2 linked regions of the Drosophila melanogaster genome follow. The protein of the gene in region 2 purifies or fractionates together with the protein of the main gene of each other region. This does not show direct contact. Each region holds a gene or a part of one and is shown on either strand. Other genes may lie near its edges. The genes, in order: CG10859 and Mfe2.

Evidence for each region.
Region 1: the proteins of Mfe2 (region 2) and CG10859 purify together in Drosophila melanogaster (affinity purification with mass spectrometry, with the first as the bait; one large-scale study listed by BioGRID). This does not show direct contact.

What each region holds. Positions count from the first base shown.
Region 1 is NT_033779.5:13,395,761-13,400,404, forward strand, and holds CG10859 (uncharacterized protein), read right to left. Parts: upstream 2,905-4,644; 5' UTR 2,662-2,904; coding exon 1,114-2,661; intron 1,050-1,113; coding exon 714-1,049; 3' UTR 632-713; downstream 1-631. Other genes in the region: CG16957 (uncharacterized protein), read right to left, coding at 1-341; CG7110 (uncharacterized protein), read left to right, coding at 3,460-3,891.
Region 2 is NC_004354.4:16,268,805-16,274,338, reverse strand, and holds Mfe2 (peroxisomal multifunctional enzyme type 2), read right to left. Parts: upstream 3,389-5,534; 5' UTR 3,243-3,388; intron 2,936-3,242; exon of another isoform or gene 2,899-2,935; 5' UTR 2,820-2,898; coding exon 2,111-2,819; intron 1,815-2,110; coding exon 727-1,814; 3' UTR 524-726; downstream 1-523. Other genes in the region: kat80 (katanin 80), read left to right, coding at 1-55, 3,759-4,100, 4,225-4,360, 4,998-5,534. UniProt on the Drosophila melanogaster protein: Bifunctional enzyme acting on the peroxisomal beta-oxidation pathway for fatty acids.

The sequences.
Region 1 (4,644 bases), on a different chromosome or scaffold from region 2:
TTAACGCCATTTCGTCCGTAATAGTGAACGGATCGCGAGACATCGTAGATGTTGAAAAGGATGGCCACTAGGATGCGACCGTCCGCCCGTGTGCCGTCATATTCCCGAAGTTCCCGAACCGTAAAGTCCTTCCGCAGTGGCGGAAGATCCACTTCCTGATTATTATCATCACTGAAGTCTGGTTCCTCGCGGCTCAGACGACGCGCAAAAAATCCCAACTTGAGGAACACGACGATCGACATGATCAAAAGGGTGACATCGATGGGTGTTTCCTTAAGGGAATTGTAAAGTTTGCAGTACCAGCTGGTGGTGTGTTCCATGCCCTTGGAGCTCTCAGCCATCCTGGTGCTTTCAATTCCAGAGTGTGAATGAATGAAGTGAAAAATTGTATGCAAACTCCCCTAACGACTGCCTTGTACTGACTGCCCTTTGTTAATTGATTGAAGTATTCAGTTAGGCCTTCTTTTTCTGAAAATTTAAGTAAACACCAATAAATCAGGGGATTCGATACCGATACCGGATACCTTTTACTCAGCTAATCGCATTACCCCTTTTGCGATACCTTGAAACTTGTGGAACATCCACATCGATTATATTACACTCTTTAATTGTAGTATAGCTATTGAAACTTATTATTTAAATTGCTTTATTGAAATGCATAAATGGGTTATACAATATTGTAAGAAAATGCTGGTCAAGTTATAACAAGGAAATCAAGGAATGGGCTGATGCATTTCGAATACAGTGCGCTCCATGGCGAATGTGCGCTTGGAACGCTGTATGGCGACATTTTCCATTGCTTCGTTGAACTCCAGAAGAGCCTTGCTGAATTCCGAATCGCTCTCGATCATCCTGAGGAATATGGTCGCCTCGTCCTCAACCTTCGGCTCCATCTCCTTCTTGGCCTGACCCTTCTTCTTCTTGGCCTCCAGCTTTTCCCTGGACTTGCGTTCCTCCTCCAAGAAGATGGTGGTCAGGCGCTTCTTCAACTTGATCTCTTCCTCGCGAGCCTCCAGAAGTTTGCAGCGCTGTATCTCCCGTTCAAACATCTGAACTTTCAGGAAATACATTAGAAAACATTGGGATCTGGAAGAGATGATAATCATCACTCACCGACATCATGAGAGACTTCTCCTTGTTGGTGGCACTTCGCATACCCTCCTCCAGGCGGAGCATCAGGCAATCGCCGTTGGCCAGGCTCACGGTTAGCATTGTTCCATCCGGCTTGAACACCAGATGGGTAACGGCGTACTTGTATTTGATGGTGAGAATCGGTCGTTTGTGAGACATCAGCAGGTCCCAAAACTCCAAGTTGCCCATGTTGTCTCCGATGCAGAACAGCGAGCAGCGTCCCGTGCTCCAGGCACCGCTCAGCAACTGATTTGGCCGGCGGAAGTAGAAGGTACTGGGGCAGTTCTTTACTTCCTCCGACCAGATCCGCACCCGCCAATCGCCCACCACCAAGAAGTTCTTTACAAAGAACGGATTACGCATTACACAGCGAATGGGACCGGCAAAAAGTTGATAGGCAGCAACGATAGTATCCTGCGGAGTGGTGCCCTTGCGATTGCCTACGAACAAGTAACCCATATCGGTGCAGAATATGAAGCGCACTGGTATGGTGTACTCGAACTCGAGAAAAGTTACGCCATGTGCATCCTGGCGATTTTGAACTGTCTGGGGGTCCGGTTCGGCCAGCACCTCATGAACCGGCATAAGAAGATCCCGGGTATCCCAGTACTTGATGGACCCATCCAGTGATCCTGAGTAAAACTCAGTGTTGAGTTTCGAGTGCACCCAGCAGATGGCCGTTGTGGCCTCGCGATGACACGCCTCCAGGGGACACATGCTCTTGGGACCACCCTGGTTCTCGGTTAGCCAGAAGCCGACCTGACCCTCCTGTAGTCCACCCACCATGTAGCTCTCATCCCGCAGGCACACCTTGGCAACCCGTACGACTCTCCTAGAATCGTAATGGGCAGCCGGTCGGGTGGCATCATCCAAGTTCCAAATGTAGAATGCATGCGGATTATCGTTGCCAAAATCGGGCAGCGTGTTTAGCTGTTTTGTGTAGTCCGGTGTCAGGCTCATTCGATTGGAATAGAACAGGAGAAACTGATTGGGATCGTTGTTTAGCCATTCGCACGTCATCAGCCTACGCGATGGGATCCACAGATCATGAAAGACATGGGTACCCCTGGCAGCGATCTTCATGCTGATGCCGCGGCCCAAATCCTCCGGTAGATCCACAAAGAAGTCCTCGTAGATGTTGACAGCATTGTTGGCCGAACTGATGTCCATTGCGGCGTGCATCAATTGGTTCACCTCGATGCCCCAGGAGTCATCACGCTCGACTTTTTTGCGATAGCGCATTGTGGACTCCTCGTCCATAATGTTCACCTCCTTGACGTTCCAGCCGCCTTCGTAGTGATTCAAGCCATGGGAATCCAGGGTCACGTTGTGTGTCAACACTGAAGATGCTGCATACTGTTCGCTCAGCTGGGTCCGTTCGTTGATCGGATTGCGCAGTATGTACTTGAGGCGCAACCGTCCACTCGGCTGCACACTGAGGATCATCTCGTTGCGGTCTGTGAAGAGGCACTGCCTCCCGAACCGGCGACGCTCCCGCGAGAGGATGAACTGATTGCCCAAGGTTCCCATTGCAATCGACTATATATATAATATATATATCAAATATATATAATTTTTTTTTATATAACAGATATCATAAGAATTGGGAAGATAGTGATTATCCCTGAGTGCTACTTTTTGGAACGATTGTAGGTATTAGGGCTTAAATAATGTCACTGGATAAAAAACGAAGTAATTTTAACGTGTTTGCTTCTTGAACAAATCTATGAAATTGAATGAAACCGTGGGTAGAGATATACTTTTATATCTGACTTATTAGTCATGGATAACGTGTATTTTAAATATATGTACACTTTCAAAGCTTGTAACTAAATACTATTAAGAAATATAGTCTACAATATAAAATTAAATTTATTAGTTACAATAGCATTTTTACGTATTTATCTTGTAGTTCCTGCGAAATTTCTTAAAATAGTGCAACTTATTTTTATATTACATTAAATATATTTTAAATCCAAAAATGTTAATTAACAGTGAAATAACAGTTTCCGGTGTGTAATTTTACAGCAGTCGGGTGACCATTTTCTAAACGCGTTAGTGTGCCTGTTGCGGGTAGTAACAGGTAGCCAAGATGCGGTCACATCGCATTGTTAGAACGCGGAAAACATTCAACTTTTTCGAAAGCAACGCCTAATTTATCCAATTAAATAGTGCGTAAAAAGTACAGAGCAAGCTTTGTTGCGTTGGCATTGAATGTGCGAAAGCGAATTGAAGCATTTTGCAATATGGTGAGTTGCAGGCTATGCCAATTGGATTATGTACTTTGTCTATTTTGATAAGCCTGTGCACAAATCTGTTGATTTAGAAATGGATCTGCAAGAATTCCTTTCCCTGGAACGCCAACAACTGGAGAAGGATCGCCAGCGGCTGGGCACCCAAAATCCCTGCCCCGCCGTCCAGCTAATGAAGTCCAACGACTTTAAAGTGCAATGTCGCAGGGCCAAGGAGTTTAAGGAGTCCACGGAGTCCAATGAACTCGCCACACAATCGTCTTCCTTGGCAACCGGCGGCCAAAACGAAGAACTTCACTTGGACTTGCACGAGGAGGAGGAGCAACCGCAGGATGACGAGCAGGGTGTGCTGCCCTCCCACCCCTCGAAGTCCACCAAGGAGCTCGCGAATCAGCGCCAGCTGCTCGTCGGCAGCGCTCGTCCGTATAAGTCGCCAGATGCGTCGATGCGACGCAATTTGGAGAACGAGCGGCCGCTCAGTGAGAACCGCTTCCCAATTCATCGTTCGGTAAGTGCACTGAAAGAAAAGAGTATTGAATATAATTTTATTTAAGATAGTACCCATTTTTCTAGTCCACAAAAGAGTTCATATTAAAAGTATTAAAATTGTTTTAACTTACGCATGCCATGCGTTATTCATATGAAATTGTATGCACTGAAATATAAATGTATGTTGAAAAAGTTTATATAGGATGTATGTACGTTTGAGTTTGTTTTCAGTGCAGATCCACTGAATCAGCGTTGAAGATCGAGCTCTAGAATGTGCGTTGCGCTTCACTGGCGCCTCTTACCGCATCGCATCGCCAATTTGTCTAGCGATTGGCCATAAATGTGCGAAATGGGTTTCTCTACGCCTCGTTGCGCTGTTCACTTATGTTCAAGCTTTTCCAAACTCAATTTTTTAGGAATCATCGCCTTAGTTGCAAAAAAGGTTTCACAGTGCTCTTAGTCTTAACTAGCTGCTTGTGGGCAATTTGGTGAGTTCTGGACATTTAGAAAGCCTTAAGTATAAAATATATTACTATTTATGTCGCTGTTGGTTAAAATATAAAAATTTACATACTTTCGAACAATTTAAAATTTAAATTTAGCCTTTACTGAAAAGGGCCTTCTATAATGCTTCCTAAAATTTTGTTTAAAATAACAATAAGCAAAAGATTTGTGTTTTAAGTGTATTTATTAGTTCCTTGTGATTTGCGAGCACCTGTATGCTCATGAGCATCAAGCATTTACAATTTGATAATTTATATCAAAACAATTC
Region 2 (5,534 bases):
ACTTTAACCCGTCTGGAGAATATGTGGTGTCCGGGAGCAATGATACCACCGTCAGGTGAGCCAAGGACCGATATATAAATAGTCAGAGTAACCCATGAGTCATTCGGAAGCTCTAGTTTCCTTATCAAGTGGCAGATTTAAAGTTTATTCGTTGATTGAAAAGGGATGGCGATATTCTCCCTCCCTCTTTTAGCTGTGCTTAATCCTATAGAATCGCGTATTTTGGGTTTAATAATCTACACAAAAGAAAAATCTCATATTTAGAAATTAGAAATTTTATATCGGTTTAATGCACATACATATTAGATGCATTGTATCTATATGGTCTTTTCTTAGATATCACTTGACCTATATATGTGTAAAACAAAGATAATATGACTCACTACATTGCACAAAAGGGGACAGGCTGACAAAGATAATATCACTTTGTGTTGTTTAGCTAAAGTTGATATTTCTTTTGGGATCTCATATATCTTATCTCTCAGATCTATTACATCCATGATCTTAAACAACATTGCATTTTCAGTTATGTGATGTTTTATTGGGAGTTTTATAAAAGTGTTACAAAAAAATACTTCTACCACCACGGGCGTTTAAACAATTGCATATGTATAGGCATATTTGTTATAGTGTATGTACAAAAAAAAACGGACGCGAAACGAATTATAAAGTCAATGATAATCCATTGCGACTAAGGCAGACTATGTGTCTCTAGGTGATCCGCGCTTACAGCTTGGCCTGTGAGCTCTTCAGGTCGACATAGGCGCCGGATATGACCTCCTTGCCGGTCTCCACGACCACGGTGCGGAAGTTGATGCGTGTGCCCTGCTTCCACAAGTCCACGCGCAAAGTCTGGCCCGGAATTACGGGTCCGGAGAAGCGCACTTTGACAGCCTTGAACAGAGCCGGGTTGTTGTCCGCAAACTGAGCGAGCACGGCGCGCACCGAGAAGCCCAGTGTGCAGAGTCCATGGAGGATGGGTGTCTTGAAGCCGGCCAGCAGGGCCATCTGGGGATCGATATGCAGGGGGTTCTTGTCGCCGGACAGACGGTACAGCGCCGCCTGGTCCTCGCTGGTCGTATACTGGACGGTTGCGTCCGGTTGGCGATTGGGCGCCGGCTGCAGCGGAACTACACCAGCGATGGGATCCTTCTTGCCTCCGAATTTGCCAGCGCCGACAATGAAAGTGGTGCTCTGGTTGCGCACCAACAGGCGGCCACTTTCGTCGAACGACTCGCTATTGGTGACGACCACGGCGCCGGATCCCTTGTCCATAACATCGAAGACCTTGCCGTTGGTCAGCAAAGTGCCACTGGTGGGCAGATCGTCAACGATCTCTAGGTACTGTTCGCCGTGCAGAATGTTGCTGAAGTCCACTTGGCTGTTGGGCAAAGCCTTGCTGAGCAGCTTGTCGGTGGACATTTGCAGCAGAAGGCCGGGCAGAACGAAGAAAGTTGGAATGGCGGCGAAATCGGCATCGTTTTCGTACAGGAAGCGCATGTCCTTCGCGTTTTTGACGGATGCCCCAATGCCCAGGGCGTAGGTAATAAGCTCTTTGCTATTGAACTCGAAGGCATCCTCGATGGCGTCGCCGCCGCCTTCCTTGAGCTTCTCAAGCACTTCCAGCAGGGTGCCGGAGGCCTCTGCGATGGCACCCAAGTGCTTGGCCTTGGACATGTCGGTCACATTCGACCACACATCCTTGACGTACTCAATGGTCACGGGGTCGTCCAGCGAAGGACGCAGCACAGCGCCCTTGCCGCGAACCATGTGCAGCTTGGTGGCCCAGCCGGCGGCACTCTCGATATAGCTACCTGTGGATCGGAGAAGAGGGAGAGAGAAAACGTTTAATAAACCCTATATATACACACATGTACACATATTCCTGATAAACGGTCTAAGTTCAAACGCTATCAGTATGAATTTCCCTAATCAGGCAGATTATGTTGACCATTTGGATTGGACTACTGGACATATTAAAGATGACTTAGCAGTGGTTGGCCAAAAATTGCATAATTTTGTAGTTCTCAAAGGGTTAAATTGATACAAATTGATATGATAATCAATTCTGAGATAATGCAATTCTCGCATAACTTCGGATCCCACTTACCATTATCCTCGCAGGACTCGTGGCACAAGTAGGCCACTACGGGAGCAATCAGCTTGGGCTTCAGCTCGTTGAAGAGAATGTCGGGCAGAATGCCCTCGGTCATTCGACTGGCGGCAGTTGGCACGATGACGTTGCAAAGAACATTGTTGCGGGCTCCCTCGATGGCAACCGTGTTGGCCAATCCGATGAGGCCCATCTTGGCGGCAGTGTAGTTGACCTGCCCGAAATTACCATAGATGCCCGAGTTGGACGATGTCATGATGATGCGGCCATAGTTCTGCTTCTTCATGTACGGGAATGCCGCCTGGGTGCACTTAAAGCTGCCCTTCAGATGGACATCGTTGACCAGATTCCAGTCCTGTTCGCTGGTCTTCACCAGACTCCTGTCGCGTAGAATGCCGGCATTGTTGACCAGGATATCGACGCGTCCGAAAGCTTTGATGGCCGTCTCGATGACCTTTGCCCCATCGATTACCGAGTTGTAGTCGGCCACCGCCTCGCCGCCGGCCTTACGGATCTCATCCACCACAATGTCGGCGGCCCGCTGCGATGCTCCATCGCCGGAGTGGGTGCCACCCAGATCGTTGACCACCACCTTGGCGCCACGCTCCGCGAAGAGCAGTGCGTACTCGCGGCCCAAACCGGCACCAGCTCCCGTCACCACCGCCACACGGCCATCGTAACGAAGTTTTCCATCGGATGAGGACATGGTCTGTCTATTGGTCAATAGCAATCGCAATTTCTGGTTTCGCTGCACAAATCCGGTCTCTGCGGCAACGCTTTTTCGGCTGTAAAACACGAATGAACCGATGAAAATAAACTGGTTGGCTAATAATCGAACAAGAAAGGAGAGTAGCACTACTTTTCAATCGTACTTAATCTCAAGCGATAATGCTATCTGCCCTGCCCTCGCATATGTGAGTGTAACTCTGGACTCTTCGGCTGAAGAACGTTACCCAGGCGATATGGTCCAAGTCCAGGGGTTCACGGTTCATAGTCAAGTGCTTTTCGGATGGCACCGAAATCGCCGAAATCCGAGATACAAGATACATTTGCACAGTGACGACAGCACAGTTATTCGAACCGCGTGAAATGGCCCACACACACACACATTAAACAAGGGTTAACTTACAGTTCTCGTAGATTCGCCGTATGATGGTATGGTATGCCCGAATATGCACAGATTAACCCAGTATCAGTGGTACAAAGTGCATCACTATTCGCTGCCGAGATAATTTTGCAATCGTTTAATCGGTTCAACCCATGAAAATGCACTAAAATATACTGCCCGCATTCATACGTTTGTGAGCACTAGAAAGTAGTGCCGTCAAAATGCTGGAAAGCAGTGCATCGCGGACGTAAACCTCGGTTCGGAACTTCGCTAAGCCGTAGCAAAGACTCCAACCCGTTTTCATTTTCCAGACGATTAAATTTAAAAATGAACAATTATGGAAATTACACTTATCTTCCACATTTCAAATTCAACTATGTCTCTTTATTTAACATAGAAATGTATAAAACAACAATAAATTGAGCAACAATAAATGAATTAACTAGGAGATTACATATATTATTGAAACTTTATGAATTACATATGCTTTGTTGCTTATTTAGCAAACTATTAACTTTCATATGTCTGCAATCTCAGGCTTTGGGACGTGCAGAACGAAAACAACTGCATTAAGGTATGTCGCGGCCACATGTCCCACGTGAATTCCGTAAAATTCTCGCCGGATGGTCTTTGGATTGCCTCTGCTGGCCTGGAGGGTTCCATACTCATCTGGGACATACGGAAGAGCAAACAGATAATGGAGTTCATAGCCGATCCGCCGGTTACGGCTATCACATGCGTGCAATTCCATCCGTTTGAGTTCCTGCTGGCCGCCGGTCGCGTCGATGGCACCGTTTCCATTTACGATCTGGAACACCAGCAGCTCGTCTCGCAGACCACGCACTTCTATGGCCAGGCCATCAGGTGTATAACCTTTAGGTGAGTCCTGCAAAGAATAATCCGCAATCGTGAATTGATTTATGAAAAGAAATAGTAATATAGTAATTTTGCCAAAAAGTGCATAAATTCTAATTATCTGCATGTTAAACTTTATTTATTTCAGTGACAATGGCGAGTGCCTTTTTGTTGGCAGTTCTTCGGGCATTTCGGTAATTGGATGGGAACCGGATCGTGAGCTGGACCATATAAAAAGCACCTGGTCCTCCTTGGCGGACATGAAAGTGGTCAACAATAAGTTGGTAAGTGAAAGCACTTACTCATTAAGCGAAGCACCCTTCCAAATCTCGTCATCCCCGTTATCTTTTTTGACAAAAATAATCAGTATTTTGGTCAGAATATTCTAAAAAATGGTCCAAATATGGAGTGTCATACCTCGTTGAGTTTGTTTTTTTAATCCAAATCGATTTGCATTCAAATTTGGGAATTCTAGGTTTTTTAAATTTTTTGCAAATTTTGATGATAAAATTTTGATTATAAAAAAGGCGAAAAATTGGCCAAAAACTAATTTTACAAAATCCGTCCAAAAGTGAAAGGGGTGGTTAGTATTGGTAATTAGGAGCACAAAACGGTATTTCTTTTGGCGGTGTGGCCATTTTTAGTCAAGTTATACCCAGAAAACCAATCTTAAATATTGCATTTTATGCCAAAACTGGTTTCACTGATTTTATGCGAAAAAAATAATCGGTATTTTGAGCAAAACATTAAAAATAATGGCACAAATATGGAATGTCATAACTTGTTGAGTTTCCGAATCAATTCGCATTCAAATTTAGGAAATCTAGGTTTTTCACTTTTTGAAAAACCAATCTTAGATCTTAAATGTAAAATGTCTACAAATGGAATATCCAATAAAAACCATTGCACTTCCTTTTGTAGATCTGTGGTTGTCATGAGATCGACACCGTTTCAATCAACACCATCAGTCTGGATCGAGTGATACCATTCTATCAGCCGCCAAACTCACTACCCAACTTTAAGCACAACTCGACGAACCGAAAGAGCTTTACACGTGGCAACCAGAAGTTCAGGCTGTCAGTTGGCGGTGCCAAGCCGGCACAGGTGCAGGAGGAGCACGAGGGCGACAAGAGTGGATTGTCCTCGCCCAACTATAGTCTGGAGGTTGTGAACGAGGCGGTGCTGGAGTCGGCGGAGACTTCTCCAATGTCCTCGTTGCCACCTGTCCACTTGGCTTCGATGGCCGGATCGTCGGCGGACTTGGCGCCGCATCATGTCGTATATGGCGGAGCAATCGATTCTGCCCTAAGGCAGGGTAAGTACTCCAGAGTGCCTGATAATATGGCCAGCTATGGCAGTAGTTACGGGGCCATCGATACCCGCCTGATGTCCTTGAACGAACCCAGTTCACTGCACAAGCCGGACATTTACAATCTATATCCGCTGGACAAGAACGAG